3 linked regions of the Alligator mississippiensis genome follow. The protein of the gene in region 2 purifies or fractionates together with the protein of the main gene of each other region. This does not show direct contact. Links are inferred from orthologs where the notes say so. Each region holds a gene or a part of one and is shown on either strand. Other genes may lie near its edges. The genes, in order: PHLPP2, WDR48 and PPP1R9B.

The links.
Region 1: the proteins of WDR48 (region 2) and PHLPP2 purify together in Homo sapiens (affinity purification with mass spectrometry; 5 studies listed by BioGRID and IntAct, with this or other methods). This does not show direct contact. The link is inferred for Alligator mississippiensis from reciprocal best matches to the Homo sapiens genes WDR48 and PHLPP2.
Region 3: the proteins of WDR48 (region 2) and PPP1R9B purify together in Homo sapiens (affinity purification with mass spectrometry; 3 studies listed by BioGRID and IntAct, with this or other methods). This does not show direct contact. The link is inferred for Alligator mississippiensis from reciprocal best matches to the Homo sapiens genes WDR48 and PPP1R9B.

What each region holds. Positions count from the first base shown.
Region 1 is NC_081833.1:77,616,111-77,625,907, reverse strand, and holds the start of PHLPP2 (PH domain leucine-rich repeat-containing protein phosphatase 2), read right to left. Parts: upstream 3,890-9,797; 5' UTR 3,886-3,889; coding exon 3,811-3,885; intron 3,690-3,810; coding exon 3,469-3,689; intron 1,369-3,468; coding exon 1,235-1,368; intron 1-1,234. Other genes in the region: AP1G1 (AP-1 complex subunit gamma-1), read right to left, coding at 6,663-6,764, 7,840-7,938. UniProt on the Homo sapiens protein: Protein phosphatase involved in regulation of Akt and PKC signaling.
Region 2 is NC_081828.1:209,182,778-209,193,391, forward strand, and holds the start of WDR48 (WD repeat-containing protein 48), read left to right. Parts: upstream 1-6,299; 5' UTR 6,300-6,348; coding exon 6,349-6,396; intron 6,397-10,614. UniProt on the Homo sapiens protein: Regulator of deubiquitinating complexes, which acts as a strong activator of USP1, USP12 and USP46. Enhances the USP1-mediated deubiquitination of FANCD2; USP1 being almost inactive by itself.
Region 3 is NC_081827.1:169,683,468-169,693,658, forward strand, and holds the start of PPP1R9B (neurabin-2), read right to left. Parts: upstream 4,188-10,191; 5' UTR 3,628-4,187; coding exon 2,236-3,627; intron 1-2,235. UniProt on the Homo sapiens protein: Seems to act as a scaffold protein in multiple signaling pathways. Modulates excitatory synaptic transmission and dendritic spine morphology. Binds to actin filaments (F-actin) and shows cross-linking activity. Binds along the sides of the F-actin.

The sequences.
Region 1 (9,797 bases), on a different chromosome or scaffold from region 2:
TCCCTCCGCACAAGCCTCTCCACACTCCAGCTGACCCTTAGATCTAAAGCCAGGAGCCATCTCTGACCCTCCTGTCCCATGGCACAGGACCACAGGACTAAAGGGCACCTCAGGGGCCATCTGGTCCACCCCCTGCCTGGATGCAAGATACTGCTCCTCAACCCTCCTCTACCATGCTCAGCCAGCCGCCTCCAAGGCCTCCATCGCTACCACTGCCTCACTGCGCTACAGTGAGCAAGTGCTTCCAGCTCTGCTGCAGTCTGAAGCTAGCACCTACCATCCTGCCCTGTGTAGCAAGGAACAGTGGTCATGCTCTGTCTTCCCTACAGCAGTCCAGCCCTCCAGAGATTTAAAGACTCCCATCAGTCACCTTTCCTCCAAGCCAGAAGTGCCTAGTTTTCCCAACCTTACACCTTGCAGCTGCCTTCCAAGTCTTTATCACCTATGGCACCCTCCTCCAGACCCTAACTTCTCCACATTCTCCTCGAAGTGTGGAGCACAGAACAGCGCACACGACTCTAGCTGAGGCCTACCCAGCTCCAAGCATGAGCTCGGATTTCCAACCTATCAAACCCTACTGAATTCTGCTCCTGTCTTCCAGCGTGCTCACAGTGCCTCCCAGTTCCCCTTCTCCTGTAAATCTCCCCAGGAAGCTCTCCACCGCAGCACCCAGGTCACTGACAGGCTCATCAAAACAGCACTGGACTCCAGACAAACCTGTGGAAACTCCCCCTCAAAACCTCTTGCCATTCTGACATGGATCCATTTGTTATTACCCTTGACTTGTGGTTATGCAGCCAGTTCTCCATCTTGCGGGACTTGGTCAAAAGCCCTGCTGAAGCCCAGACGTGCACACCGCACCCACTGTGTTCCCTTCCTCCACCAGGTAGTAACTCTGGCATAGGAGGAGATTGGGGTAATCAGTGCAAAGCCATGTCGGCTGCTCATGCTCTGCCTTTCCCCCCCGGCACTAACAAATGGACTTGTTGTGATACACTGAAGCAGCTTCCATACCATTGCTGCCTTTGCTATAGCCCAGTGCTCTCACCATCCCCAGCTGTGCACATGACTCATGATGAAGCACGTGTATGCAAGAGGTTAGTTACCCTCCTTCCTTCTCCTCAGGGCAGAAGAGCATGGGCTAGGCTCTAGCATACAGCTGCACTGCCTGCTGCACAGGCGCAGTCCCAGCGCCGGCCCCCGGAACGACAGCACATGCCAGACACATTCTTACCATTGTAAAAACGGATCATACAGCTGAGGTCTGCGTTTGCTGCCTCCTCCTGTATCCTCAAGGGATCTTCGAACCCGAGGCTGGCCAGGTACTCATACACGATCTGCAGGGGCTTCTCTGTGGGCTCCAGCCGTCTGGGGATGAAGTGCAGGAAAGGAAATTAGTTTGCCAAGGCCTGGCCCTAATCCCAGGCCCTCGCTCCTGCTACAGTGTGGAAGGGGCCTGGCATCCTTGGCCATGCTGGTAGGGCCCCTAGATCCACGCTCCCTGCCACAAGACATGCGAACACTTGGTGCTGCCCTCCTGATCCCTGAGACATGAGACACATGCTCCTTGGCAGTCGCATGCCAGGCGGGCTTCCCACAGCACCTCTCACTCTGCACCCAGTGAAGCTCCCGCTGCCCGTTCCAAGTCAGCCCCAGCCACGCAGTGCAAACTGCCCCCCGCCTCCCCTTCGAATGCAGCTGAGAGCACAGCAGATCAGAGAGCATGCTGGTCACACTGGTCTGGCACTCCTGGAACAAGACACTCAAGAGTCATCCCCAATGAAGCACATCTCTGTAGCTGCAGGAGGTGGCCAGAGCAGTGCCGGGATCGCCGGGGATGGGACGCAGCAGCCTCCCCAGAACACAGGATGACAGCAGACGGAGCCAGAGCGGAGCCCTGCTCTCCTCTTGTCTCCTGCACTGCAAAGGCCAGAGACTCACTGAGCGATCCTGGCAGCCCGCCCCGGCTTCTGCCCAAGCCAGAGTAGCCCAGAGACTGACGCCAGCCACAGCAACAGGACTTGGAGTCAGGACGACTCCCCTCTGGCAACTGCTCCCACAGGCAAGCCAGCCTCACCAGTAAAGCCTTCCCTTTGCTCCTACTCCGAGTTTCCTTAGCTTCCTTTGCCCACGACTGCTCCTTGCTATATTCTTCTCCTGACTTAACGGACGTTTCCCTTGCTGGTATTGACAGCCCACGATGAAAGTTGCCTTTCCCCCTCTCCTGCGAGTGCACGGAGGTCTTGGGGGCAGGCAGGTTTGCCAGACAGCCAAGCAGCACACACCGCTCTTCGCTGAGCATCCTCCAGCATGGAGACGTCCCTGCGGATGCGCTGACAGGGCAGCCAGCACAGGGCGTGTGGTTCCTGCCTGCTGAGGCAGCACGGCCGCCTGGCTTTCCCGCCCGCACCCCACAGAACCGCGCCCTCTCGCCGCCATGCCGCTGGGAGCCCACGTGCAGGGTGCTCCCCGCTGGGACCCACAAGCCCGTCTCCGAGCTGCTGCTTTCCCAGTTCCAGCCCCTCCCGGCTGCAAACATCACGTACCTCGCGGCAGGGCCTCCGACCCGCTGTAAGGAAACACGTGGTCGAGCACGTTCCGTTCCCACGTCACCAGAGCTGTGCGGAGCGGAGCCACGCCGGCCTGGCCTCTGCTCTCAGCCTCTCCACAAACTCCCCCGGGGCCTAGGCCCTTTGCTCCCTGCCAGCCCTGCCTGGCTGCTGCGACGAGGCACAAGCCAGGGCCTGGCACCCTCTGCGCTCTCCAGCCCCCCACAGAGCTCAGCCTCTTCCATCTGCTCCACGCCGCTCCGGCATCGGCCAGCTGCGTCCCAAGTGAAGGGCGGTAGCGCTGTGCCAGTCCGGACAGCCTTCCCAGGCAAAACAGGAGGTGTCCCCGGCCCAGACAGAGCTGCCGGCTGCCGCCCCACAGGCGCAAGGAAGAGGCTGGAGGGGTGCAGCACTGCGAACCTGCCCCCGCCTCCCCGCCACGGCAGCTGCTCCCCCCCCGGCTGCTGGCTGACAGCGCGCGCACGCGACGCAACGGCACCGAAGTTGCGGCCGTTTCCTCTCGCAAGGAGCTGCCGCTGCACCGAGGGGCCTCGCGGCGGGACCGTCAGACGCGGCGACCAAGGGACCCGGCAGTGGCCGAAACCCTCGTGATTCACGGGGAGACTGCAGGGACTCAAGCGGCTCCTCTCCGGCGCCAGGACAGCGTGGTCCGGAGGCGACGGCCACAAGACGACAACCCCGGGGGCGCGGCACGGCGCGGACACCAGGCACCCCAGCCCCACTGTGCCAGGCGCGGGGACACGCGCTCGCCTGGCCCCTTCCCCGCTGCCGCTCGGCTCCCGCCAGAGAGGTCTGCGCGCGGAGAGGAGGGGAGGGGAGGGGAGCCGGCCCGGCCCGCGCACGCTTCCCGCCGAGCCCTGGAGAGCCGAGCCCCCGTCCCGCGGCGGGGCGGGCTCACCTGAGCAGGTCTCCGTGCAGCTGCAGGTAGAGGCGCTGTCCCGGCGGGCAGAGCTCGGCGGCGGCCGTGTGCGCGCTGCACAGCACGAGGCGCGGGGCGGCCGCGGGCTCCGCGCCCTGGATGCTCACGCAGCCGCGCGCCGCGTCCTCCCGCAGCCAGCTCCGCTCCCGCGACCCGAACCGCCAGCTCCGGCTCCGGCTCCCGCGGCGCCGCGCCGGCCTCTGCGGAGAGAGCGGCGCTCAGCGCGGGGAAGGGCTCCCGCCGCGCGAGGGGGTGGGGGGCGCAGGACAGGACCCGCCCCGCCCCGCCCCGCCCCCGCGACCACCGCCCCGGCCCCCGCACCTTGAGCAGGCGCGGGCCCGCGCGGGGCCCGGCCCGGCCGCCCGCCTCGTCCTCGTCCGGCTCCGCCGCCTCCATGGGCCCGGCCGGCCCGGCCCGGCCCCGCCCCGCGCGAACGCGCGTCACCCGGCCCCGCCCACCCCTGTAGCCTACCGGCAGCAGCTCCGCCGCCTGGCCCCGCCCACGGGCTCGCTGGCGTGCCGGCCACGCCCACCGCCCGGCAGCCCACCTAGACTCCGCCTCCGTCGCCTCATTAGCATGCACGACCCGGACCGGCCGGGCCGGAAGCGCTACCCACTTCCGGCGGTCAGACAGCAGTCCGCTCCCCCTCGCCTTCTGCCCGCAGACCCCCCGCGCGGGCCGGGCCGCGCCCACGCCCACGCCCACGCCCGGCCGGGCTCTCTCGCTGCTCCGCGGGGCGCCGGCCAAACAGCCTGCTCTGCTGCTGCTGCTGCTGCAGGGCCCGCCTGGCGGGACGTCCCGGCCCCGACGAACACGGCGCCGCGGGAGCTGCCGGGCCGGGCCGGGCCGGGCGCAGAGCGGCAGAGAGCAGCCCCCAGCGCTGCTCGGGCCACGGGCCTGGCCCGGGGAAGGGCAGCGAGCATCCGTCCCCGCGGGGGAGCGCGGGCCGGCCCTCCACGCGCCGCCCTCGTGCGCCGGCACCACTGCTCTTCCGGGAAGGGGCCGGGCAGGCTGCGCCCGGGCTGCAGCAAGGCAGGAGCAGGAGCTGGAGCTGGCCTAGAGCTGTGCCAGGCGCGGGCTGTCTGCACGGCCAGCTCCGACGCCCGTGGTGGTTGCGTCGGCGTTTCCACTGCTGCCGATGCACCTGCCCGGGCCAGCTCGCCGCACCTCGTCCGTGCTCCAGCCGAGCTCTGCCGTAGGGAGCCTCCTCCGAGCTGCAGGCTGTGGCTGAGCCCGAGCCCGAGCCCTCCCTGCGAGCCAGCCGGCCGGGCAGGCAGGCAGGCAGGCGCGGCCCGCAAAGACCCAGCATAGCTACAGCGCACCGGGTTTATGCTGTATTTTCTGGCACACCGAGACCAGCAGTCTGAACAAAACGGTGACAGCCGTTCCCCAAGCCCGTGCCGAGCAGGGCCACTTCTGCCAGCCGTCTCGAGGAGAGCAGCACAACCTGCTCTCGAAGCACTTGCGCAGGCGGAGGGAAACCATTCCAGGAACAGGCACAGTCCAGTGCTAGGTCTATGTCCTGGAAGAGGTCAGAGACCGAGTGTGCAGGGCGGGTCCCTGCAAGCTTGGCGCTGGCAGGGCCTAGGAGAAATAGCGCAGGTTTGCAGTCCATTTCCTTCAAAGCAGCAGAGCTGGAGACGAGCGTGCTCAACATCAGCAGGCTCAAGGGATGAAGATCCAAAGTGTGCCCCTCTCCTTCCCCTGCTCCTGGAGGGTGCGAGCCACCAAGTGCCCCCATCTCTGGCGTCCAGTCGGTCTCCAGCAGGGCTCATGGAACAGACATCCGAACGGCATCGCACTCCGGCTGTGGCGCAGCAACATGCTTTCTCGAGAAGAGCTGTAAGAATGGCCCAGGACTGAGAAGGGCACCAGACCTCAGGCCTTTGGACCCACTTGCTCAAGAGACAGGCTTCCACATGAAGAACAGCTTGTTTAATTACTCTGGTTGAAGACGAACATGGGATAGATACTTTAATTAAGTACAAAGTGGGAAAAGGTCTCTTTAAACTGCATGGTCTTTATTTCAGTGCCAATGTTACAGATACAACACAAATGTCCCAGTCAGAACGAACTCAAATGGAATCCAGGGGTCTAACAGGCTCTGGAAATTAAAGGAGGGAAGGATCTGAAGTAGCTGGGAAATGGGACTTTGCAGTGTAGTCTACGATGAGTCTTCCAGCAGGCAGCAAGGCCTTTTCTTTAAGGGCAATAGAGCTCGACATCTCTTTTCTACCCACCTACCACAGCCAACAGCCACAGGACTGGACAGTAAGTTCTGAAACTTTGGGTGTGGGATGGGTCAGCCAAGGGTGGAGCTCAGAGTCTCTCATCCATAGTGAAGCTTTCCAAGGAGGCAGCTACAGAAACACCTGCGCAAGTTTGCAGAGCTGCAGCCGACGACGGAAAGCGAAGAAAACCCAAGTGCACCAGGGCTTTGTTTCAGTTCCGGCACTACAACCATCTGCTCATCTCTCACCTGCACCGCTCTTCCTGCAGTCCCAGCTTTGCAGATGAACTTCCAAGGTGTGACTTGCCCTTGGTATCATCATACAACTAAAGTTGTGTGTGTGTGGGGTGTGTGTATACAGCAATGCACAGAATTGGCCACAAAGAGTGGACAGCCTCCTCCAGCACAGGGGATATGAAAGAAAAAGGCATGGCTCCCTAACACCCTCTGGATGAGTTTCCAACCTGAACCCCAGATGAAAGTGCCTGAAGATGTCTACCCAGCTAGTGATGAATCAAAATGCACCTCACCCACCCCACAGAGAGAAGGCAGCAGAAAGAAGGGGAAGCTGCTCACTCGCTGCAGAGAGAGAGAGAGAAGGGGAGAGAGGGGGAGAGCTTCCCTGCAAGGAATTCCAGTCCTCTCTTCCAAACAGGCTGTGTTTTTGGGGGGAGAAGGGGAATGTTGTTTCCGGCTGTGAATGCATGTGTGAGGGAGTGCAGAGTAGCCCCCACAAGCAGCCAGCCTCATCAGTGGAGGGGAGGAGATTAGTCTTAGCAGATATGCTTCAGAGTCAGCAGTCGATCAGGGAAACCCCTCCACATCAGCAGGTCTCTCTGCTCCCCGTGCCCATGGTGCAGTTTGGGGGATTGCCAGGGATCACAACCTTCTTCCCAGAGTTCCTTTGATTGGGTGGGGTGAGAGTAAGAACGACGCCAGAGCCTCACTGCCAGGACTGCGGGGGGAAGTTGTTGACTTCGGCTAGATCCTGCATCGCAGAGCCCTTGTGATTATATGTCAACTTGATCCTCATACGGAGCTGTTGCTGCAGGAGGAGAGAGAAAGAGATCAGCTCTGCCACCCCACACTCCCAACTGAATTTCCCCTTCTTCCCCAGCACACATGATCCAACGTTTCTGTAGGAGGCATGGGCATGGTGTTAGCCCCACCTGTTCTGCCAGCAGGCACACCCATTATAGGGTGTTTGCTTCAGGCCTGAGCCTCCCTCTGCCGGGCTCCACTCCAGGGGGTTGGTATCACCTGCTTTTCTCAAACACAAAGTCACTTCCTGATCTTGGAGCCCTTGAGAAACCCCTGAGTGCCCTCCCTTCTGCCCAACACACCCTCCTGGGACCCAAGTCTACCAAGCCTCAAGACTTTGCTGCTCTAGGGTAGCTCTGAGGGCCTCAGGAGGTTGGGTTGTCTAAAAAAAAAAAAAGAGAAAGAAAAAGGGGTGGCTTGTTCTCCACATGAAGGAATTTTTTTAGTGTCAATTATTCTGGAAGCCTCTGTGAGGCACTACTGAATTAGCATAATTCTGTTATCACAAGAGACCAAGGTCCTAGCAGCCAAGAGGGATAGGGACCTTTACTCAAACTTTAAAACTACTTAATTTGTTTCTTTATTGTTCCTAAACACTCTGGCCACTTCAGAGAACAGCTGTCTTGATCAGAGACAGAAAAATCAAAAGAAAATTCCAAAACTACATCAGAGACTACAAAAATGCTCCAGCAAACAGCAGAGACAACCAGTTTTGGCAAAGTTGATGTGAAAACGGTGCCCTGCATTCAGGCCTGCTTTACACAAACTGCACAAAGCCAATGCTCACTTTCTTCCCATGTGGGCCACCCTTAAATAAAGTTCCACTTGTAGATGCTTTATTAACCAGGCTGCTGGGGAAGAGACCCCTGTTCCTTTTACCATTGGCTGAATCAATGGGTGGGCCACTGGATTTTTTTCAAAGCCCTTTCCTAACCATAACCACAGTACCTGCGACTCCCCATCACCAGCCAACCTGTTCCACCCAGAGAAAAAACAGGACTCTGTTCCAAATCAGTCAATACCAGACACCACAGATGCTCAAACAAACATAAGGAATTCCTTCTGCCAACTCTGCTCACCTTCTGTGGGTTCAGGACTTTGATGACTTGTGTGATGGTCCCCGAGTTAAATGCTGGGATGACACTGCTGCTAGGAGACAGGAGCTGCAGCTGGAATGTCTGAAGAGAAGGGGAAAAGACCTTTCAGAAACAGTACAGTTATGCCATTTCATCAGGCATCTAACACATTTATGTGTAATTAATGCAAGTCACTCATCGTGGTGTCCTGTGACCAGTGGGGTCCCCCAAGGCTCTGTCCTTGGACCCATACTGTTCAACATCTTCATTAATGATGTGGACACTGGAGTCAGAAGCGAACTGGTCAAGTTCGCCGATGACACCAAACTTTGGGGCAAAGCATCCACACCAGAAGACAGGCTGGTGATCCAGGCTGACCTGGACAGACTCAGCAAGTGGGCGGATGAGAATCTGACAGTGTTCAACGCCGATAAATGCAAGGTTCTCCACCTTGGGAAGAAAAACCCGCAGCATCCTTATAGGCTCGGCAGTGCTATGTTGGCTAGCACTACGGAAGAAAGACTTGGGGTCATCATTGACCACAAGATGAACATGAGCCTGCAATGCGATGCTGCGGCTAGTAAAGCGACCAAAACGCTGGCTTGCATCCATAGATGCTTCTCAAGCAAATCCCGGGACGTCATTCTCCCCTTGTACTCGGCCTTGGTGAGGCCGCAGCTGGAGTACTGCGTCTAGTTTTGGGCTCCACAATTCAAAAAGGATGTGGAGAAGCTTGAGAGAGTCCAGAGAAGAGCCACGTGCATGATCAGAGCTCAGGGAAGCAGACCCTACGATGACAGGCTGAGAGCTCTGGGGCTCTTTAGCCTGGAAAAGCGCAGGCTCAGGGGTGATCTGATGGCCACCTACAAGTTTATCAGGGGTGACCACCAGTATCTGGGGGAACGTTTGTTCACCAGAGCGCCCCAAGGGATGATGAGGTCGAACAGTCATAAACTACTACAAGACCGTTTCAGGCTGGACATAAGAATTTCTTTACTGTCCGAGCCCCCAAGGTCTGGAACAGCCTGCCACCGGAGGTGGTTCAAGCACCTACACTGAACACCTTCAAGACCAAACTGGATGCTTATCTTGCTGGGATCCTATGACCCCAGCTGACTTCCTGCCCTTTGGGCAGGGGGCTGGACTCGATGATCTTCCGAGGTCCCTTCCAGCCCTGATGTCTATGAAATCTTATCTACGTGCCTCAGACCAGAGTAGAGGGGGTGGGAAATTGTCTGGTGTGCAGGACACTGGACTCCAGGTACAGAAAACAAGTGTTCTTCTTCAGACTCCCTGGGTGACTTTAGGCAAGTTACATATCCTCTCTTGTACCACAATTCCTAATCTGCAAAACGGGAATAATCCTTACGGATCTCACACAGATGCTGCAAGGATGAATGAAATGCAGGGGCTCAGACAGTGCCGTTTTAAATAAGACTGGGGCAGGCAGTTCAGCAGTGCACCTTCAAGCCTAATGTTCAGGTAGAACAGCCAAAACCTGCAGATAAATTCAGCCTACCCATGACCCTTTCCACGTTTAGCCCACATGTAGCTTCAATCATAAGGCACTTGCTGCTGCCAGGTTCCTGCCCAGTCCTAGCTGCAAGCAACACCAAAAACCATGCAACAGCACCTTGTCCAACCTTGCCACCTTATGGTCAGCCCACTCTTGACAGGGCAGCAGGGCAACCCGATATTTCGTTAGGAAAAACTCAGTCACTGCTAGAGCAGGGAGGCAGTGGAACAGACACCCAGGGAAGCTGCGGACTCTCCGTCACTGGAGGTGTTCAAGAAGGTTGGACAGACGCTGGTCAGGAATAATCTAGGCGTAGCAAGGCTTATTTTCTACTATGGGGATTTTCTAGGCTTCTGGGCTTTGCTGGTTGCTACATGGGTTCAAGAGGGATTTTTTTCCCCTTCCTGCTGCTACATGTGTCTGGGTGTTTTTAAGCGTTCTTCAG
Region 2 (10,614 bases):
TTGGTTTGTTAATTAAAACAATCTGTTGGTGATTAGGAATTATAAAGGATTATGTTAAAAGGCAAGGCTTTTTATGATATTTGTTATTGGACCAGCTGTATAGTTGGGAGAGCTGCTAGACAAGTTTTCGGGCATCAGGACCTGAGGTAGGACACCTGATGCCTGAAAACTTGTTGAACTACACTGTCCTCCCAACTATTGGGAGTTGGTCCAATAAAGGATATCACAAAAAAACTTTGCATCCTGGAGCATCACAGCTATAAAAACATCAAACCTACTATAACATAAAGGGTTATTTCATTTTATCAGAAGATACCACAAAAGGAATTATAGTCACATAAACATTTCAATGTGTTTTAAAAGACACAATAACAGGAAATGATTTATAAGTATACAGGGAAACCACTAAGTTACAAAAAGAAATCTCCAACTTTTTAATGGACTAATGCATGCTGAAATGTAAAGAGCCAATTTGGTCAGTACTTGCCTAAGTAGAGGACTCCATTGTGCTCCATTCTTCCTCACTTTAGGTTCTGATAAAGCAACATATTGCACTTGTGAAAGCATCTATGACTCTTTGGTAGCTAGATAGTCTTAATGTGAAGCCAATAGAAAATTGAATTCTAATAAAAACTACCTTAAATTATGCCTGCACAATATCAAATACATTAAACAAAATGACATAGCTTTTGAATTCTCTTCTCAACAACCTTAGCTCTTAAGATATGCTTCTAACTGCTAACAAAAAACATTGTAAAGTAGCTGAAGTTTCAAATTTCTGGAAGAAGCTGGGGTGAGATCAGGTCAGGGAAGCCTGCTCTTTAAGAATCGTGATGCTCCATTAACAATAAAACCGTGGCATAACCAGGAATGCTAGAACCAAGAGTGATCTGTATTTATGGACTCCATGCTCAGGACTGCTCCTCAGCTGTGTATGCTGTTTAATTTATGGGTTTGGGCACACTCGAAGTAGGTGCAAGCTGGGCTTATATCTCATTTGCATTCTTGGGCTCACACTGGAGGCCTTAGAGATATCAGTGCAGCAAGTAGGGGCTGCAAAGATTTGCCAGGTCTCTTAAAAGCTTTTTTATTCCAAGCGGAGTTCTAATCTATGTGTCTACAAGATACCTTAAACAGGGTTCTCCCCTGCCCTGTTCCCCCTCCTCTCCCTCCTGGATACTTCTGTACACTCTTGCCATATACCTTTGCACTGATGCTGGTGGGTTCTGCAGTAATATCTCTGCTAGCTGAGGGTCTCTTCCCATATACCTTTGGCAAGAGACCCTCAGCAAGCAGAGATATTGCTGCAGAACCCACCAGCATCAGAACCCTACAGTCACCTGCATCTTTTATTCAATTGTTCAGAAGACCTGGCAGGCCATGCAACCTGGGACAACCAAAGTCTACGAAATATAACACGGAGTCGACACATTCGAAGCCTTCTGTACACATCTGGGTTTTTGCAGTGCCCAAACATGGCTAAAAGCAGCAAACAACTTCCTTAATGTTCAGATTTATGGAAGGAATTAAAAAAAAAGTTTGGCACCTCACAAATGTGTATACATCATATTCCAACATGTTCATGTTCCAACAGGATGGTCAATGCTGCAGAAGACAGACGGATGGAAGGAACTGCCAGGATGACCCGATACACAGGACGGAAAAACATAATTAGCTGTGTGTCTGAAGTCAGGTAGAAGGTGAGGTAGATGTGCGCCTTATAAACTAACCAAAGTAGATATATCCCACTGCCTGGGTTAGCTTTGGTGACTCCTGTGTTCCTATGGGTTTACTGGTTGTTTGCTTGTCTCTCCCAGCACTGTCCCCCTCCCCACTTCTCTCTCTCTCTCCCCCCTCCCTTGTCTTTTGTATTCTCATTTTCCCTCTCCTTAAACGTGGCTTTCTGCACATCCTTTCATATAATCTCTGATGAATTGAGCTTCAGATCACAAAAGCTTGTGCTCTGTCCGTATCCCTACTTTGGTTAGTCTATATGGTGAAAATACCCTGCCTTCTAATAGAGGAAGGAACCATGCAACGTTATTTTAGAGCTCTGCAAACATAGTTGACAGCGCAAATCAGATGTGAGCCCCAAAGGATAAGTCAAAGTATGAGCAAAGGAAACAAAAGGGACAGACGGAAGAAACACAAGGTAAGAAGGAGAATCCACAGAAATCCTCTTGCTGACATTTCATGTCATTACATATGCCCTTTAATCATTCAAACCCTTCCTGTTTTCAAATTGCTGGGGGGGGGGGTGCATGTGCGTGCGTGCGTGCATGTACAGTTTTATTCAGAAAAATGACTGTAAAATGACCATTTCTCAGCCATGGCATCTGTTCCCTATATGTTCAGAACTGTGACACAGAACAGGACAACTTGTGCTGCAGCTAATTGTCCCCACAGTGTGTGGCATGTTACCCCACATGGGGTAGGGGAGGCTGGGCCAGCACTGTGCTGACCCTGGCAGCCTTACCTTAGCTGGGGGCCTCCCCCGGGTCTGCAGCAGTGGCGATCCTGTGCTGCTCCGAGCCTGGCCGGCGGTGGGAGCGCCACTTCTGAGCGATGCACGCTGCCCCATGCACGCTGCCCCGCTTTATCCAGTTTCCCCATGTGAACAAACATACCCCAGCAAGCAAACGTTTACGCCAATGTAAGGCTTTGCTGGCTTGGTACAGTCCACTTGTGGGCAAACTCACGGTGCGGGAAGGCCGGGGAAGAAAAAACAAAAACACTAGGCACTTTCCTGGAAAACACAAAAGGGCTTGTGACCAGGAAGAACAACGGTAATTGGAAAAAAAAAAAAAAAAGTGATCAAATGCTTTGCCAAGGGTACAGTGAAACAACACTGACACAAACCCACGCCGTACCGTCTGCCTACCGTCCAGTCCTCCCAACAATGCCTGCGGAAATCTCCCTGGGTCCCTCCCCTCTGTCACACTGACCAGCTCCCTCCACGAGGGACCTGCACCTGCCGTCTCCTCACAGGGACCCCAACTGTCACTGCCTCCACCCCTCCCCCTGCCTGCCTCCAGAACACTCCACCCCTCCCCCTCCCCGCCTGCATCCAGAACATTCCCCCCTTCCCCCCACCTCCAGAACTTTCCACCCCTCCCCTGCCTTCTTCCAGAACATTCCACCCCTCCCCCCACCACCAGAACATTCCACCCCTCCCCCGCCTTCTTCCAGAACATTCCACCCCTCCCCCGCCTTCTTCCAGAACATTCCACCCTTCCCCCCACTTGCCTCCAGAACATTCTGCCGAGCCAGAGCTTCCTCTCGAGTGTTTCTCCCGTGGGCCCGTGACAAGAATCACTCTTTACTGCCATTACGAGTAAATGGGAGTGAATAGGCGATACAGCTAGGCACGACTCAGCCGTGGATGATATCGTATCTCGGCACATCCAGAGGCTTGTTTCCCAAATTCCAGTCCGTTAGGCCCGAATCGGCATGCAAGACAAGGGAGTTTCACAGAGATGACAGAGGACCCATTTATTTCCTGCAAAACCGCTGCTACATGGCTGGTGCATGAAGAGGCACTGGAGGCCTTCTTGCCTGGAAGCGCTGGCTGAATCCGGGGCACTTTTACACGTGCTCTGGGGATGGGGGTGGCGGTGCTTTGATCAGAGCATCTCAAAGCGCTGCCGCGTCTACTCTATCAACATGGCAGCGGGGGCACTTGAACTGAAGCTCATTCAAGCACCTCCACCATCATTTTTAAGCATGATACACGAGAGGCACAGCAATTGTCACACTCCAACAGACTCAATGAATCGAGTCTGCTCTGACACAGCGGACATCCAGCGCGTTGGAGCAGCCCCCGTGCTCATGCGTAGATGCCCGGGGAGACGAGAAAATAGAAAACACAAAGCTTTTTATATGAAACCACAGAGACAAGTGCATGTAGTCTGAAATCACTGGAGTCACGTTTCAAAACAGAAGTGTCCTTGCTCTGTGCTACTCAGGGAGGCAGGTATTATTCCCAGTTTAGAGCTGAAGAAACTGAGATATAAAGTGAGGGGATGGGCTATAACGGTTTGCTGAATTTCCCAGGGATCAAACCAGAATGGCATTGTGTAATGGTCCTCAAAAAAAGGCATGGGGCCATCACAATTTGCTGTTCTCTCTTGCCCCAGAAAGTCTCAGGGCACCACAGTGGGGCCTGGGCTGTGGCACCGGCAATGCCGACTCGAGGTCACGGGAGAATTCAGGGACTTTGCTTTTCCAACCAGCACGCTCTAGCAGCCTCCACTCCACGTGTATTCAGCGTCCCCACACTTAAAAATGGTGGCAGAGGCACTTGAACTAAAGCTGATCGAACGGGCTTTAGTTAAAGCGCTTCCACCACCATTTTGAAGACTGGGACACTGAATACATGTAATGCTAGAGATGCTTTATGTAAAGCAGTTCTCAGTAAAGCACCACACCATCTACCCTGGAGCATGTGTAAAGACGCCCTATATGCCTACACTTGGCCTGCGGAGCAGTGCGAGCTGCACTGGCTAAGCAGCAGAAGCTCATGCCTGAGTGACTGCAGTGTGAATCGCTGTGGATGCAACAACTAGCTTAGCCAGACACGCTGATGGCATGTGCTACCAAACCTTAATGAAACAATGCACTATATTATGGCTTTATCTTAAAACATTAGGAGTGTGTGACCACATGTATTCAATGTTTTTTTGCTATAATAGATGTTTTTTTTTTCCGTAGATTATCTGTAGAAACAAAGCAGCCTTGCTAGAGAAGACCATAAATTAGAGCAAAGAAGTACAGTAACAGGAAAAGGAAACACGAAGCCCTCCCTCTTTACTTTCCCAAGCCTTTCTGTGCTGACAGGAGATCTAGTTCCGTCCATTCTAACAACTTCAATGAAACAAGGAAATTAAAATAAAACCGGTCAGAGACCATTTATTGGAATATGAAACCCAGCCAATTGTAAACATTGGCATAAGCTAAAAAAAACTTCAGACTTCTCCAAAGCTCAGTGAACCAACTGAAGTCCCCAGGGGAACAGAAAAGCCTGGCCAGCGGGCCAGGTTCTTCCCTGAATTCAAGGCTACACAAACATTGTCTTTATTGATACAGTGCAAGTCTTTGCTAGTACATAGTCCAATAAAGCATTTGAGTTGTGACTGGAACGGTCTCACTAGTCAAATAAACTCCTCTCACCCTCCATTAACAACCAGTGTAACACCCCTTGCTGGTCAGGGCGCCGGGAGGCCGAGCCGCGGCTGGGGTGACACGAGGCTGAAACAGGCTGCTAATGCCCAGGTCTCGATGCCTGGTTCCATTTTCAAAATGAATCTTTACCCAATTAAAGGTTGTGAGCAATGAATTAGATCTGCTAACGAGCTACAATTCCATCAACAACAAACATTGACAAATCCAAGTGTAATATAATATCGCCTATCAAGTACATTGCCCCGAATAATAATAACAATAAAAAGATGAGGCTGGCATTATAGGGCAAAATCTGTTTTGGGTCAGGCAGCTCCCAGCCGGGAGTCCCCCAGAGGCAGACATTTGTTTTGACCTGAAGCAGGTTTTGCCCCATAATCCCAGTCTAAAATCTTTTTATTTAGGCCAAGGTGCCCGATTTGGAGTATTATATTGCATTTGTCTTAGTGTACAGCTTTGATAGAAGTCTAACCCGAAACCCGTCTCAATCATTGCTTGCAATTGCATCAAGGTGAGCTCTAAAAAAAGAAGCGGGAAGAAGGAGCCCGCTTACACCTTCTGTCACACCAGCACCCCGACCCGCCAGGCGGGCGCCCCCGGTATCCTGGCACCCTCACCCCCGCCCCCTCTGCACAGCACTGGCGGGGGGAGGGGGGGGAGCAGAGCCCCCAAATTCACCCATCACCTCAGCCGACGCGGTCCTGGGGGTAAATCCGATATCTGCGATTAGACCGACTCCAACAGCTGGAGAAAAAGTTCTTGAGAGCAAGCTTTCGGGCACGAGCACAAAAAGGCACGGGGGCCCGAAAGCTTGCTAAGAAGAATTTGTCCAACTATGGGAGTCGGCCTCATCAAAGACACCGGATTTATGCCAAGAGCCACGTCTGCTCCTGTCCTGACGGGGACACAGCTACACCCCCGCAGCCCAGAGCCGCCCCACTGCTGCCCCGAGGAGCCAAGGGACGGAGCTCCCAACACCCACAATAGCGCGAGTTGCCTGCGGAAAAGCGAGTAGCCCAAACCCTCCACGGCGCGCGCGGGAAAGAACCGCGGCCCCGCCCCTTCCGCACCGCTCCCCTAGCAACCGCGAACGGCGGCGGGTGGCGGAAGGAGGGGGGGCGGAACTTCCGGGCCCTGCTCGGAAATGACCTCAGAGTGTCAACATGCAAGATGGCGGCGCATCACCGACAGAACACGGCGGGTCGGCGGAAAGTGCAGGTGAGGCGGCGGGGGCCGGCGGGGGCCGGCGGGGCGGGGCCAGGCCGGGCGGGGGGCTCCGAGCTGTTGGGGGGGAGGAGGGGGAGAGCGCTTCCCCCAACCGTCACCAACCGCCGCCGTGGGCCCCACCCCGCACGTGCCCGGGGCCCCGCCCCGCCTGTGCCAACGGCTGCCTGCGGCTCGTGGCCGCCGGGGCGATAACGGCGTGAAGCCTGCTCGGTTGCACAGGCCGTGCTGTGCGCGTGTGTCTGTGGCGGGAGGGGGGGGCAGACACAGCGACCGTCTCTCACCGGGCATCGGAAAGTCCTGGGGTGGCAGCGTCCTTCCCCTTAGGATGCTCGTGCAGCCTTGTCGCACTGGACTCGAAGTCTTGCGTGGGTTTTGTCCACGCGGATTCGCTCCTGGGCAAGGACCCATTTTTATACCGAACCTTTGCCCTACGCGAGGTCAATCAGCTGTTACACGATCGGTGCGGGGAAGCCTGCAGTGCGCTGCTTCGTGTGGCAGGAGTGACCCGCACCGAAACACAGTCTCCCGTGCGGATCAGATCGGATCGGATCGGTGCTCCTCGCTCGTTGTCTGCAGCACGTGTTTCTATGGTTGCCGTCTCTGTTATGGTACCACGCGCCACCCCCATGCTTGTGCGCGTGGTTTTTTTGCTGTTGGCGAGTACCCAAATTGTCTTGCGGAAGTGGTAGGAGTGGGTCTGCGGGGTCAGCGCAGTCGAGGTCTTGGATCATATCCCTAGTTGTTGCGTTGTAATGTGGGTTCCCGTTGTGTCAATTCAGGCTGTGCGCTGTTTTCCAGGAACGCGTGTACAGCATAAAGCGAGGGAAACCTGCATGTGTTATTTTTTTTTAATGATTTCCATTATCTCCTACATTGATTTCCGCCCCCACCCCTTCACTTCCTCAGTTTTAAGATGCTTTTACTTATGGGCTTGTTTCTCATGCACCCTCCTTAGCAGAGATTTCATACAAACCACTCTTTTGTCCTCTCCCTTTGTGTCTTTTGACCCTGCAGTTTGTGTTAAATTATTTCTGTTTGCTTCTGGCTTGCTGTTCTCATAAAACATTTCATGTGACATCCAGCAAGTAGATTCTGATGAAGAAAGGGGGGGGGTTGCACCTATGACTTGGTGGGGCTAACAGAGACCTGGTGGGATTCATCCCACAACTGGGCGGTACATATTGAGGGCTATAGATTGTATAGAAAGGACAGGTCGGGGAAGAAAGGGGGGGGGGGGGTTGCACTTTATGTCAGTGAGCAATATACATCAACCCTCATCAAGACAGAAACCGAGGTTGAGGAAGTAGAAGGATTGTGGGTTAGGCTACATGGGGGGCAAGGAGAAAGGGATTTGGTGGTAGGGGTCTGCCACAGACCCCCACATCAAGGGGAAGAAAGAGATGCGGGGCTCCTGAGGCAACTCTCGGAGACCATAAAAGCTAAAGAGGCGGTAGTCATGGGGGACCTAAACTACCCGGACATCTGCTGGGAGACGCAGACAGCAAGGTCCCATTGCTCACGCAGGTTTCTAACCTGTGTACAGGACCTCCACCTGACACAGGAGGTGCATGGTCCCACTAGGGGGAATGCCATACTGGATCTGGTATTGGCAACGGAAGATGACATGATCGGGGACCTCCAGATCGGTAGCCATTTGGGAGACAGTGATCACCTTATAATAGAATTCAACATAAGAGTGGGTAAGGTAACTAGTAGGGTGAAAGTGCTAGACTTTAGCAAAGCTGATCTCAATGCACTCAGGCGATTAGTCAAGGAAGCACTGCAGAGTAGGAGTTTTGATGGGATGGGAGCCCAAGAAGGGTGGCTGTGCCTAAAGGAAACGATCCTTCGGGCACAAAGCAAGACGATCCCCGAGCGAGGCAAAAGAGGGAAAGGGGCCAGGAGGCTTCCCTGGCTGACCAGAGAAATCCAGGGCAGCCTAAGGGCCAAAAGGGGAGCACATAAAAAGTGGAAACAGGGTGGGATCACTAAAGATGAATATACCTCCTCTGCTCGTGCTTGTAGGGAGGCAGTTAGGCGGGCCAAAGCTACCATGGAGCTGAGGATGGCAAACCGAGTAAAGGACAACAAGAAATTGTTTTTTAGATATATTGGGAGTAAAAGGAAGGCCCAGGGAGGAATAGGACCCCTGCTAAATGGGTGGAAACAATTGGTGACAGATAGGGGGGACAAGGCTGAACTCCTCAACGAGTTCTTTGCCTCAGTGTTCCTAAGCGAGGGGCACGACAAGTCTCTCACTGGGGTTGTAGAGAGGCAGCAGCAAGGCACCAGACTTCCATGCGTAGACCCTGAGATGGTGCAGAGTCACTTGGAAGAACTGGATGCCTTTAAGTCTGCAGGCCCGGATGGGCTCCATCCGAGGGTGCTGAAGGCACTGGCCGACGTCATTGCAGAGCCACTGGCGGGAATATTCGAACGCTCGTGGCGCACAGGCCAAGTCCCAGAAGACTGGAAAAGGGCTAACGTGGTCCCCATTTTCAAAAAGGGGAGGAAGGAGGACCTGAGCAACTATAGGCCGGTCAGTCTCACCTCCATCCTTGGTAAAGTCTTTGAAAAAATTATCAAGGTTCACATTTGTGAGAGCCCGGCAGGGCAAATTATGCTGAGGGGAAACCAGCATGGGTTTGTGGCGGGCAGATCGTGCCTGACCAACCTAGTCTCTTTCTATGACCAGGTTACAAAACGCCTGGACACAGGAGGAGGGGTGGATGTTGTATACTTAGACTTCAGGAAGGCCTTTGATACAGTATCCCACCCCATACTGGTGAACAAGTTAAGAGGCTGTGATGTGGATGACTACACAGTCCGGTGGGTGGCGAATTGGCTAGAGGGTCGCACCCGAAGAGTCGTGGTGGATGGGTCGGTCTCGACCTGGAAGGGTGTGGGCAGTGGGGTCCCGCAGGGCTCGGTCCTTGGACCGATTCTCTTTAATGTCTTCATCAGCGACTTGGACGAGGGAGTGAAATGTACTCTGTCCAAGTTTGCAGATGACACAAAGCTATGGGGAGAAGTGGACACGCCGGAGGGCAGGGAACGGCTGCAGGCAGACCTGGACAGGTTGGACAAGTGGGCAGAAAACAACAGGATGCAGTTCAACAAGGAGAAATGCAAAGTGCTGCACCTAGGGAGGAAAAATGTCCAGCACACCTACAGCCTAGGGAATGACCTGCTGGGTGGCACAGAAGTGGAAAGGGATCTTGGAGTCCTAGTGGACTCCAAGATGAACGTGAGTTGGCAGTGTGACGAAGCCATCAGAAAAGCCAATGGCACTTTATCGTGCATCAGCATATGTGTGACGAATAGGTCCAAGGAGGTGATACTTCCCCTCTATCGGGCGCTGGTCAGACCGCAGTTGGAGTACTGCATGCAATTCTGGGCGCCACACTTCAAGAAGGATGCGGATAACCTGGAGAGGGTCCAGAGAAGGGCAACTCGTATGGTCAAGGGCCTGCAGACCAAGCCCTACGAGGAGAGACTAGAGAAACTGGATCTTTTCAGCCTCCGCAAGAGAAGGTTGAGAGGCGACCTTGTGGCTGCCTATAAGTTCATCACGGGGGCACAGAAGGGAATTGGTGAGTATTTATTCACCAAGGCACCCCCAGGGGTTACAAGGAATAATGGCCACAAGCTAGCAGAGAGCAGATTTAGGTTGGACATTAGGAAGAACTTCTTCACAGTTCGAGTGGCCAAGGTCTGGAACGGGCTCCCAAAGGAGGTGGTGCTCTCCCCTGCCCTGGGGGTCTTCAAGAGGAGGTTAGATGAGTATCTAGCTGGGGTCATCTAGACCCAGCACTCTTTCCTGCTTATGCAGGGGGTCGGACTCGATGATCTATTGAGGTCCCTTCCGACCCTAACATCTATGAATCTATCTTTTGGCGTTACGTTTCTCGAGCAAGATCTTCAGCACAGCTTTATGTCTATATTAGTCCTTGATTTGATGTTTCCACTATTATGGTTTATGAAGCACCTACTTATCATTTACAGGATCTTGGCATTGGTCTTTGCATAACAAGAAGCTAAAAACAACATGTTAAATACTTTCTGTATAAGTAGTTTTCATGCTTATCACGGGAAAGTTATTAAGTCTCAATCTGTATGTAGAGTCCATAGTTGGGAATAAGAAGAGAGATATTTGTGACATACTTTGTCCATTAAGAATTAGTTCATGCAATTTGCAAGCCCCTGGCT
Region 3 (10,191 bases), on a different chromosome or scaffold from region 2:
CAGGGGTTGGACTAGATGACCTCCTGATGTCGCTTCCAACCCTAATTTTCTAGGATTCTGTGATTCCCCATGCTGCCACGGCTGTATCATGAAGCTTCGAGCAAGCATGGGGTCTTGAGTGGGGAATGTCCAGTTCTCACTGTGCACATGCATGTCCCAGCCCACCAGTGTCCAGGTCTAAGCTAGGGCTTACCACTGTTGTGCTGAGACAGCTCAGCCCCAAGAGAAGGGGTTTTACCAGGAGAACTAACCCAGACACTGGGACAGCTCATGTCAGGGAAGAAGAGGGGGTTACCATGAGGAAGTGCTCACCACCAAGCCAAGACAAGCCAGTGGCTTACAGATCAGAAGCTGACCAGTACCAAACACCCATCCCCTGCTAGGTCACTGCAGGGACCCCATCAGGTCCCTGCTCCCCTTGGCACCCTTGGATGACCTCAAGCTGCCAGGCTGATGGCTGTACATCCTCTGCTCCACAGTGCCTGCTGCCCAAGCATTTGCAGGCAGCCAGTGAACCCAGGAGGAGCTCAGTTAGCCTGGTTGCCCACACTTGGCTGTGTCAGCAAGGACTCCCTCAACCACCCAGTTTAGCAGGGGCAGAGCGGGCAGTGAAACCCAGCACTCTGCTTTAGTAGCCTCTCCTGCCCCAAGTGAGATGCCTGCCCTGATGCCCTTCAGTGGGGTGCGCCAGCCCTCAATGTTTTAGTGACTCTATTGGACTCCACATCCACTTGAGGAGGAGGGGAGCAGGAGCACCCCGTCTGGAAGGAAGTCACTTCCCTTGCCTTCCCCCACTCCATGAATCAGGGGTCTGACCTGGATCTGAGGCTCAGCTGGGATCACTGGCAAATCAGTGATCACACGCAGAATGACAGAGCCTGCATCCTAGTCCACACCACTCTCTGCCAAGGGGGGCTGGGAAGAGACTGATGCAAGGACATCTGGCCTCCATTCCCTTTAACTATTCAGCCACAGTACATCAAATACCCCAGGCCAAAAGCTATCCCTGGTGTAGCTCAGGGGGTCACAGCAGATAGAAGCCTGGCACTGCAGTCTGGCATTGGGGTGAGCATGGCCAGTTCTCAGGGACACCCAAAGGCGCTGAGGAGACGTGTGTGGAGAATCAGGCTTAGGAAGAAGTGGCGAGACACCCCCTGACTTTGTCTTGGATAGCAGATGCCTCCCCTTAGCCTTCCCCGTAGCTGCAAGCCTTCTTCCTCCTACTAAGGCTGTCCAGCCTGGAGAAAAAACAGGCACCCAGCTGGGAGGCAGAAGAGGACCAGGGAACAGCCTTCTAGTCTCCATGATGCTCTCTAGCCCGTGCCACTGAGGGCCCCCCCTCCCCGTCCCCGCCACCATTCAGGAAGTCACATGCCCCATCCAGAGCCCTCCACGCGGGCCTGCACACACAGACATTCACACTACACTGATCGGTCTGAAATGCCAGAGGATGGCCTCGTTGGCTCTGAACGAGGAGCTGCCCCACACCCTGGGATGCACGGGGTCAATATTCGGTGGTTTCCAACTTTGGGCTAGGTTCTACCTGCACAGGAGAAGGGGCAGGAGGACTCTGCTGGCTCCTATTATAGGGAATGGCTTTACGACCCACAACCTCAGGCTCCCCATTCTTCAACTCACCGGGGTCACCTCGACCTGAAGGGCTGACTCGGATTATCACAGTGGTGTGGAGGTGGCAGGGAAACCAGACCTTCCTCAAGGCCGTGCCTGCCCTGCCTAGACCTCGGCAGCCCCCGACCCTTCTCCTAGCTCTGCCGTTCCTGACCGACATTTCTTCGGCCTCTATTCTGTTGCATCCTGCCTGGATGCTACCAGCCCCCACAACCCAGAATTGCTGCGTTTCAATGGCGCTTGCCAACAAATGGCCTGTGGGGGGGAAGCACTGAGAACACCAGTCCCTGGGCAGATGGCCAACTGGGGTGGGCAGGGGAAGCAGAGCATCCTGGGATCGCCCTGTGAGCCTCTGGGATGAGTTGGGGTGCTGGCTAGGGGACACCCAGGTGGCTGGGAAGCAGGGAGGCGCAGAGCTGAGAATGCCTGGGTTCTATTCCCAGCTCTGTCATTTCCTCCCTAAAGGCCCTAAAACGAGAATCACCCCCTTACCCGGGACTTCGTCCCCTCCATAGCACCACGTGCCAATGCAGGGCAGATCCTGTTGGCTGCAGTGCCCTGCGCTGCCCTCCCCCTGGGGTGGTGCCATGGCACCTGCCCCCTTACCTGGATGGGCGCTGTGCTGAAGTGGATTTTGCGGTTGGGCGCCGGCTCCTCCTCCTCTGAGAGTCCCGGGATCTCCAAGCAGCTTGACTCCGGCTCATACAGGCCATCGGCTTCCTCGTCCTCATCCAGCCCGCTCCCACCCGAGTCCTCCCCCAGCCCGCTGTAGGCACTAATGTCCACCAAGTCAGCCTCCGAGAAGTCCTCCTTCTTGGACTCGTCGCCCAGGTCGGCCTCCTCTTGCCCCTCGGCCTTGCCCACCTCCTCGGCAAAAGCAGCCACCTCCGGGGCCTCCAAATGTTTCTCTGCAGCCAGGCTGCCATTTTCCAAGGCTGCGTGCACCATCACCTCAGCCTGGATCACCTCTGCCCTGAGGTCGGGCCCCGGTGTCTGCCCATCAGTACCCTTGATTTTGTCCTGCTCAAAAGCCACCTCCTCTGCCCGCTCGACCACCTCGGCCTCCTGTTCTGAGTCCCCGCTCTCCTCCACCTCCACCGGCTTGATCTTCCTCACCTCCTGGACACTCTGGGAACGTGGACCTGCCCCGTCCTTGTCACCCACCCGGGGTGCACCCTGGCCCCCTGCAGCTGGCTTGGCTTGCGCCTTCTCACTCTCGAGCTGCCTGACTCTTGCCTGCAGTGAAGGCCCATCGCCAACCCTGGGGTCTGCCTTGCCCGCTTCCTGGCTCTGGAGAAAGACCCGGGACCTCTTGCTGACAATTTTGGAGTTGAGGGGCCCAACTTTGCCAGACGTTTTGTGCAGGTTGTTCCTCAGGTCGGCCTTCTCGAAAACAGCGCTAAGCTGGCTCACAGTGGGCGACACGGCCTCCGTGTCCAGCTTGTCCAGGGACTCAGTGCTACCATTGAACCTCACCACCACATCCAGCTTCCTGTCCTGGAAGCCAGCCCTCTCCTTCCTCAGCAGGAGTTTGTTGGTGGTCTCCTTCTCCTGGAGGCTCCTCTCGAAGATCTTCCGGGTCTCCTGGAGTTTGGAGAATGGCTTGTCAGGCTTGGAGTCGAAGCGGCTCACCCTCTCCGACACGCTGGTCCCCAGCTTCAGCAGTGCACTGTGGTCTACATTCTCGTTTAGGCTGCTGGCCCGGGGCAAGGACAGCCTGACAGGCTTCTCCTTCACCTTGGCCAGGTCGCAAGCCCCTTCACTCACCGGAGTGGTCCCCATCTGCAGGAACATGTTCTTGATCCGGTGGACGTTGGAGCCATACTTCTTGTTCCTGGCCTTCTTGGCTTCCTCGCTCTCGGCGCCAAGGGCATCCTCCGTGGCTTTGAGGCCCTGTATTCCAGCTTCGTAGGCGTTCCTGTGAGGCGAGGAGCTTCTCAGGCTGCTGCTGTTGCTGCTGCTGCTGGGGCTGGAGGAGTGAGGCTCAGTCTTCATCATGGTTCACCGAGGAGGCTTTGCCTGTCGCCTACACCACATAGCCTCGCTCTGCCTCTTCTGTCTGTCTGGCTCTTTCTCTCTCTATCTCCTGCTGCAGTGGACTCACATCACCAGAACCCCTCGGCTGTAGGCAGGGGCTAGGCTGTGCTGTCTGTCTACAATACAGCGGCTCGCATTGTGAAAGGGAAATGCGGGTGGGGGGGAGAGGGGATGGGAGAAGGCAAAACTGGTCCACCACTCAGCTGCCAGAGGCTGGGACCAGACTGCGGGATCTCCTAAGGGGGTGGCTCAGTTCTGGCCATGTCCGGCCAGGTGTGGAGATCCCTTGCCCCTCCTGTCTCTCTATCCTTCTCTTCTTCCTCCCCCTTTCTGTCTCTTTCTGCGCCTGAATGGCTGGTGATGGAGACCGAATGCTCTAACCCTTCTGCAATCTGCACAGCCTACCGCCCTGGCGTGGATTCCTCTGGGTCTTAGAGAAACCAAATCCTCTTTCCTCTCTACTTCCTCCCCCTTCTTTGGCAAGTGAGAAAGGAAATTCAGTTGCAAGGCGACACCCTTCCCTCTCCCCCCCAAAAAAGACTAGTCCACTGAACTAACTGACCACAAGCCAAGCCAGGAGGGGGCTGGCATAAGAAGGTCCAGCCCCCGCCTTCCACCCCCTCCCCCCCATGAACTATTTAAAAAATTGACAAACAATGTAACCCAACCCCCTCGAGCTTCCTGGCTTTGGCAAAGGGTTAGGCTCTTCCTGCCTCAGTGGGCCAAGTCCTTGGGTTCTTCCCCCTGCCCCCGCCAGCTCCTAATGCCCTTTCCCCAACTTTGGGCCAAAGGGCTCGGTCTGTCTGCGGCTGGAGGCACGTGTCTGGGTGAGTGAGCAGGGCATTCTTCCTTCTCCCATGACCCAGTGACCTGTGACCAGAGCTGTCCCTCGGGCAGGGGTGAATTGGGGTGACTGCCCCAGACCTTGCTTTTTGGGGGGCTCTGTGGACAGTGCCGTACAGGCCCTGTGGACAGCGCCACTGACACGTGCCGAGGGTGCCACCATTCTGCACGGATGCCACAAACCACCGGCTCTGCGCTCCGGCCACTCGCCACCCTGCCCCCCCCTCCCCCCCCCACAGGCTGATATGCCTCAGGCCCTGTACACTCCTAGGGTCGGCTCTGCCTGCAACACTGAGTCAGAAGGGGGTCTGGGCCGGACCTTTCTTGCCCAAGCTGCTTTCTTGCAACACAATCAGCCTGGGCAGCCAGAAGTCAGCCCCTGAGACACAGATTCAAAGAGTCGGAAGGGACCTCAGTGGGCCACCTAGTCCAACCCCCTGCCCCTGGCAGGCAAGAAAAGAGTCACCAACCCTGGGGTCATGTGATCCCAGCCAGGTGCCTGTCCAGTCTCCTCTTGAAGACCCCCAACAATGGGGCCAGCACCACCTCCCTTGGGAGCCCATTCCAGATTCTGGCAACCTTGACCATGACATGCCCTGCCTCTGAGGGGCTGGTTCTCAGTGGGGCAAACTGCACTGAAACCAGCAGGAGCTGCACAGCCTTGCTTCCCTTGGCAAATGAGAGAGCAGGGGGGCAGCTGGCTGGAAGGAACCTGCTTAGCCGAGGTGCTGACAGAGCGGTGGCTCGGCCCCCTGGGGCCCAGAGGTGCCTGAGTGTGAAGAACCTGGTCTATGATTTCAGCAGCTGCTCAGACACCTGGTGACTGTCCTCTCCCTCCCCGCCAACAGAGGCAATGACACCTTGCTGTCAGTGTGTGTTGTTAACTCCTGATTTGCATGGTGCACCTCCTTCTTCGGCTGGGGGCAGGGCTGTAAAGCTGTAGGGCTTGGCCACAGAGCACATCCAATCCTCCTCTTTGCCATGCCCTGCTACCCATCTCGCCACCCCGTCTCCCTTAGAGCACAGGGCTGGGAGCAAGGAGCCCTGTGTTCAGGTACCAGCATGAGGAATCCAGCACCCACTAGTGCTTGCCTACTTCAGGGGCTCCACTTGAGCCCCCCCCCCTTCCCCCATTTCACTCCTCTCTTGGGAAAACCTGAGCTTTGGGCACATGTATGAGGGGTCCTAGCTAACCCCAGGTCTGCTCCTGCCCCAGAGGCCGCAGGCACAAGCAGTCAGTGGGCACCAGGACCCTGCAGATGCCACACGACAAAAGCTCCCCCTCTGCTACCTTGCTTCCTGCATCTTCTGCCTTTTTGTGTGCGAACCAGCACAGTTCCCTCTTCTCCCCCGCAGCCCGCCCTGCCCCAGCCTGAGCCCAACAGCTGCTGCAGAGCCAGCTGGGGAGGGCTAGCAGCTAGCAGGGAGTGCGGCTGAGGGGCTTGGGTCCCAGCGGCCGCAGGATGCTGCCCTATGCCAACCTGGGATTCCTGTACCAGTGAGCAGCGACTGTCACTTCTCACCTGACTCATCAAGCCTCAGCATTAACCCTTGCCAGGGCACAACCAGAGGCAGAGGCACACGGTGAAATCCCACAGGGAGCCCATCACCGCATGTCAGGGATTCCCAGTTGATTAATCCTTTGCAGCCCCTAAAGGCTGTGATCATCATGCTCACGGTCCCAGTGTGCAAGGCTCTGTACACGTTGCATGAGGGGGACCCCAAAGAGCTGACAATCTTGATAGAGCAAGAGAAAATGGAGGTCCAGAGATTTGGCAGAGTGGCTGTGACAGGGGCTGGCTGAGCTGGGAGCAGGACCCACATTTCCCTATGCTGGGGGTCCTGAGCCCCAAGTAAGAAAGAGGGAGCAGAGAGGGGAAGCAAGAGGGCAAAGCAGTGACAGAGGTCTCCCAAAGACTTATTGAGGGCCCAAAGTACAGGGCTTTTCTGTCAGGTCACAGGCACATGACACTTTTTCATGGGAAACCCCATTATGTTATTCTTGCTCGTTATTTGCATTGTGGTACAGTCTGAAAAGCAGGGCCTCCTCATGCCTTGCGCTGCATCTGCACACACTCTGAAGCCATCCCTGCCCCAAAGAGTTTACAGTCTAAAAAGCCAAGGAAGAGGGTAGGGGCGTATTGTCTCCATTTTGGATGTGGGAAATGGGGGCCCGGAGATCAAGGAACTTGGCTAAGGTCACATGAGGAGTCAGTGGCAAAGGTGGAAACAGAAACCTAATCTCTGAAGAGCCAAGGCAGTACCTTATCCAGCACCCAGTCTTTGCTAACTCTTTGCTCACCTGTTCCCTGGTTCATACAGGGCTTTTTCCTGCAGATTCAAACAATTAACAATCGTTTGGCCCAAGTGACTGGAAAGTGGTCTTTCCGTATTGTCAAAATTAGAAACGTGCTCTTAGCCAGGGGGGACTGGATTTCCAAGCCAAATTTTATCACTCATTAAAATCCTCAAAGGATCACAAAGCATTTCACCAATGGGTTTAGATGAAACTATGCCCCAGGATTGTTGTAACCCGCTATTTTAATATAGCTACCTCTGGGGTGGAACGCAGCGGTCACTAGACCTGTGTGCCTTGCCAGGCTGAAAATCCAGAGGGAGAATTTTAGAGACAAGAGAATACAGTTTTCTAGGACATTGGGGTGAACACCCTGGCTGTCATCCAACTGCAGTGGAATTTGTTAACAAGCCCAAAGCAGGCAGGCCCACCTCTCATGTGAGACAGGGTACCTCCAGCAGCACAAGGCCAGGCTAGGGGACTGAATCAGCACTGAGTCAGAAGGAAATGCATTGAATCACTATTAGCACATCCTGCAGGGCTCTTTGTAGGTCTCATTCAAGTACTGACCTGGATTTGCTCTGGAGGTCACTGCCTGAGCCAGGACGGCTGGGAGGAAAGGATAGTGTTAGGTGATCTCCTCTGAGCTGTCCTGCAAGGTATATTTTTAGTCTTTCTACATCTCTTCCCAGGCACCAGCATCCTGATGTAGCCTGTTCTGTCCATCTAACACTAAGCCCCAGTATCTCCCCCATCCCAACAGCCCAGATGTTGCCTGTACTGTCCTGCCTATACACCCCAACCCTGACCTATGCTACCCCCACCCTGGGCTCCATCCCCTGTGCTGAGACTCACCATGACCTGTAGAAAGCACTCATCTGTCCTTACCAGCACCTTCATCATTCTGACCTGCCACCTAGTACATGCCCTGCCCAAACAGGTGCCGTCGATCACCCATAGCTGAATCATATGGACCACCCTGATTTTGTCAGGCAAACCCCCTGGGGGATGGGAGACTTTCATCTGTAATGAGGAAATAAAGGCTCTGCTCAGCAGGCCTGGAACATATTTAGCACCAGTCACAACTGGTCATTGAGGTCCCATCCTTTCATGCCCTTCCCTGCATGGGAAGCCATGCACGGGTCTATGCAGCAGCCTGCTACCACGCTGTTTATTTGTCAAGACTGCACTGGTATTTCCACTAAGATGAGAATAGGAGAGGAACTGCCAGATAGATCCGCCACATTGCTTGCAGAACACACTGTTCAGACTCATCTCCTCAAGCCATCTGCGCTGGGAGGAACTGGAAGGAAAAAGACTCTCTACAGTTTTCTGCACTGGGGCAAGCACAGACCTGATGGGGGTCATTCTGCAGCTGCTCCATAAGAAGGGGCAAGAGCCAGTTGCAGACACTTATGGAAAGCGAACTTGGGAGGGATATAGACCAATGCAAAGCCTGACCAACAAGGGACACGGCAGGACTTGGGACTGTGGGGGTGATATGAGTATTGATCTGCACCCCAGGCTTTAAGGAGCTAGTGATACCAAATCAGTGACATACACCAATGCCAGTCTGCCAGGTGCTGCTGCAGGGCATGAGACAGACAGGACAGGAGAGAGAAAATCTAATATCTCTTGCAGCTAAATGGAGCATGGTGTTATGTGAACCACAGCTGTGCCCATCTCCCTGCTCTCCCTGTTGAAACAGCATCAGCCCAGGCTGAACTCATTTCCTGGGCCAAGGTATCAGGTCAGGACTATGCAAGCCCTACAGTGGAGAGAGGGCAAGGAAGATGGCATCTTGGTTTCCTCGTTTCAGGCTGTCTGCAGACTCAGGCAGGAGGCACCACTCAGTGCATTTTGCAGCCAGGAGGGACAGCTGGGGTTCAGAAGAACCTGAATGTGTTGTGCAGGCTACAGAGATCCACGATGCAGCCAGATTCAGCCTGCAAAGTAGGCACTTGCTTTCCCTCTGATGCCTGTAGGCATTGATCAGAGACACACCCAGGTGTCATGGTGTAGAGGAACAGAAGAGATGAAAGGGGCAAGTAAAACAGATGAGTCAGGCAGGCAGACACACCATGCTCTCAGAGGGGCTGAAATGGAACCCAGGAGTCCACATTTGCAGTCACCAGCTCAAACAACTCTCCACTTCCTGTCACATTGACATCATTGCTTCTAAAGCAAGTATGCCAAATTCACCCTCAACATGAGCCGGTGACAGTCAGGAGAATCACCCCAAAGACAAACCTGGCTCATTCATCACTTCTGCATGTTCTTCCTCATTTTGGTTGTACTTAGATGCAGGATACTTCTTCACTTCCTGACCCAAACTGCCAGCCGCTGTGCTCAACCCCAGAGGTGGCAGCCCACCCACTGCAGGGGAAGCCCCACAAGGAGAGCTTAATCTTGTGCGGAGGTAAGTCCAGGGGTACTCTTTCAAAGCCTGTGATTTACTCTGGTGTGAGGAAGGAGTGAGAATTGAACCCCACTGTTTGCAAATCAGTTTGTCAAGAGCCCAGGGGGGCGTTCTCATGAAAGGGCTTAGCTAAACGGCAGCTCTTATGAATTATTCACCAGCATTATTAATAATAGGCACAGTGGTTCTGTCGCCACGGAGATCCCATGTGTATGTGTGCGTGGATGTGTGTTGGCGGGGTGGGGGAATGTGTCTTTTCCACTCATTGGTCCCCTCCCTGATTAGGTGCAACCACTACCCACACCTCCCACAGGGTTCAAGCATTTCCAAGGACCCAGCACTTTCCCAGGAGGTGTTTCCTAGCTCCAGGTACCTTCTAGGAACTGGCTTTGCTTTCAAGCTTTTTATAGGGCCTGCAATCACTCTGGACTCTCCTTCCACCTTTGCTACTGAAATGCCAAGACAGCTTCACTGCGTCTGAAGTCCATGTACAACACAGACTCTTGAGGCCTTAGAGTTGAGGGGAATCAGCCTGGGCAGCCAGTGCAAGGGCAACGCAACAGCTGTGCTCAGAAGGGGAGCCAGGGAGTGTGGCCAGAATTCATTGCCCTGCAGCTGAGCTCTGTGGGCTCATGGGAAGGGAGAGGCTAGAGCAGCCCCAACGCTGCTTTAATTTATGCCAAAGGACACGTGGTTTCTCCTGCACAATCCTCTTCAGACAGGAAGAATGGAAAAGTGACTTTCATCACCTGTCCCTGTTCTGGAGTGACCAAGAATCATGGCCACCAGCTTCAATAGGGACCCTGCTGGGGTGAAGTCAGAACAGAGGCCTCTGAGCTAGATCTCCCAGAGAGATCGACTTGCTGAAGATCTGGGCCCAGTCATGCATGCTGAGCCCTTGGAAATCCGGGCCCAAATGTATGTCATTGATTCCGCCCCCCATCCCTCCTCCAGAGCCCCTCCCACC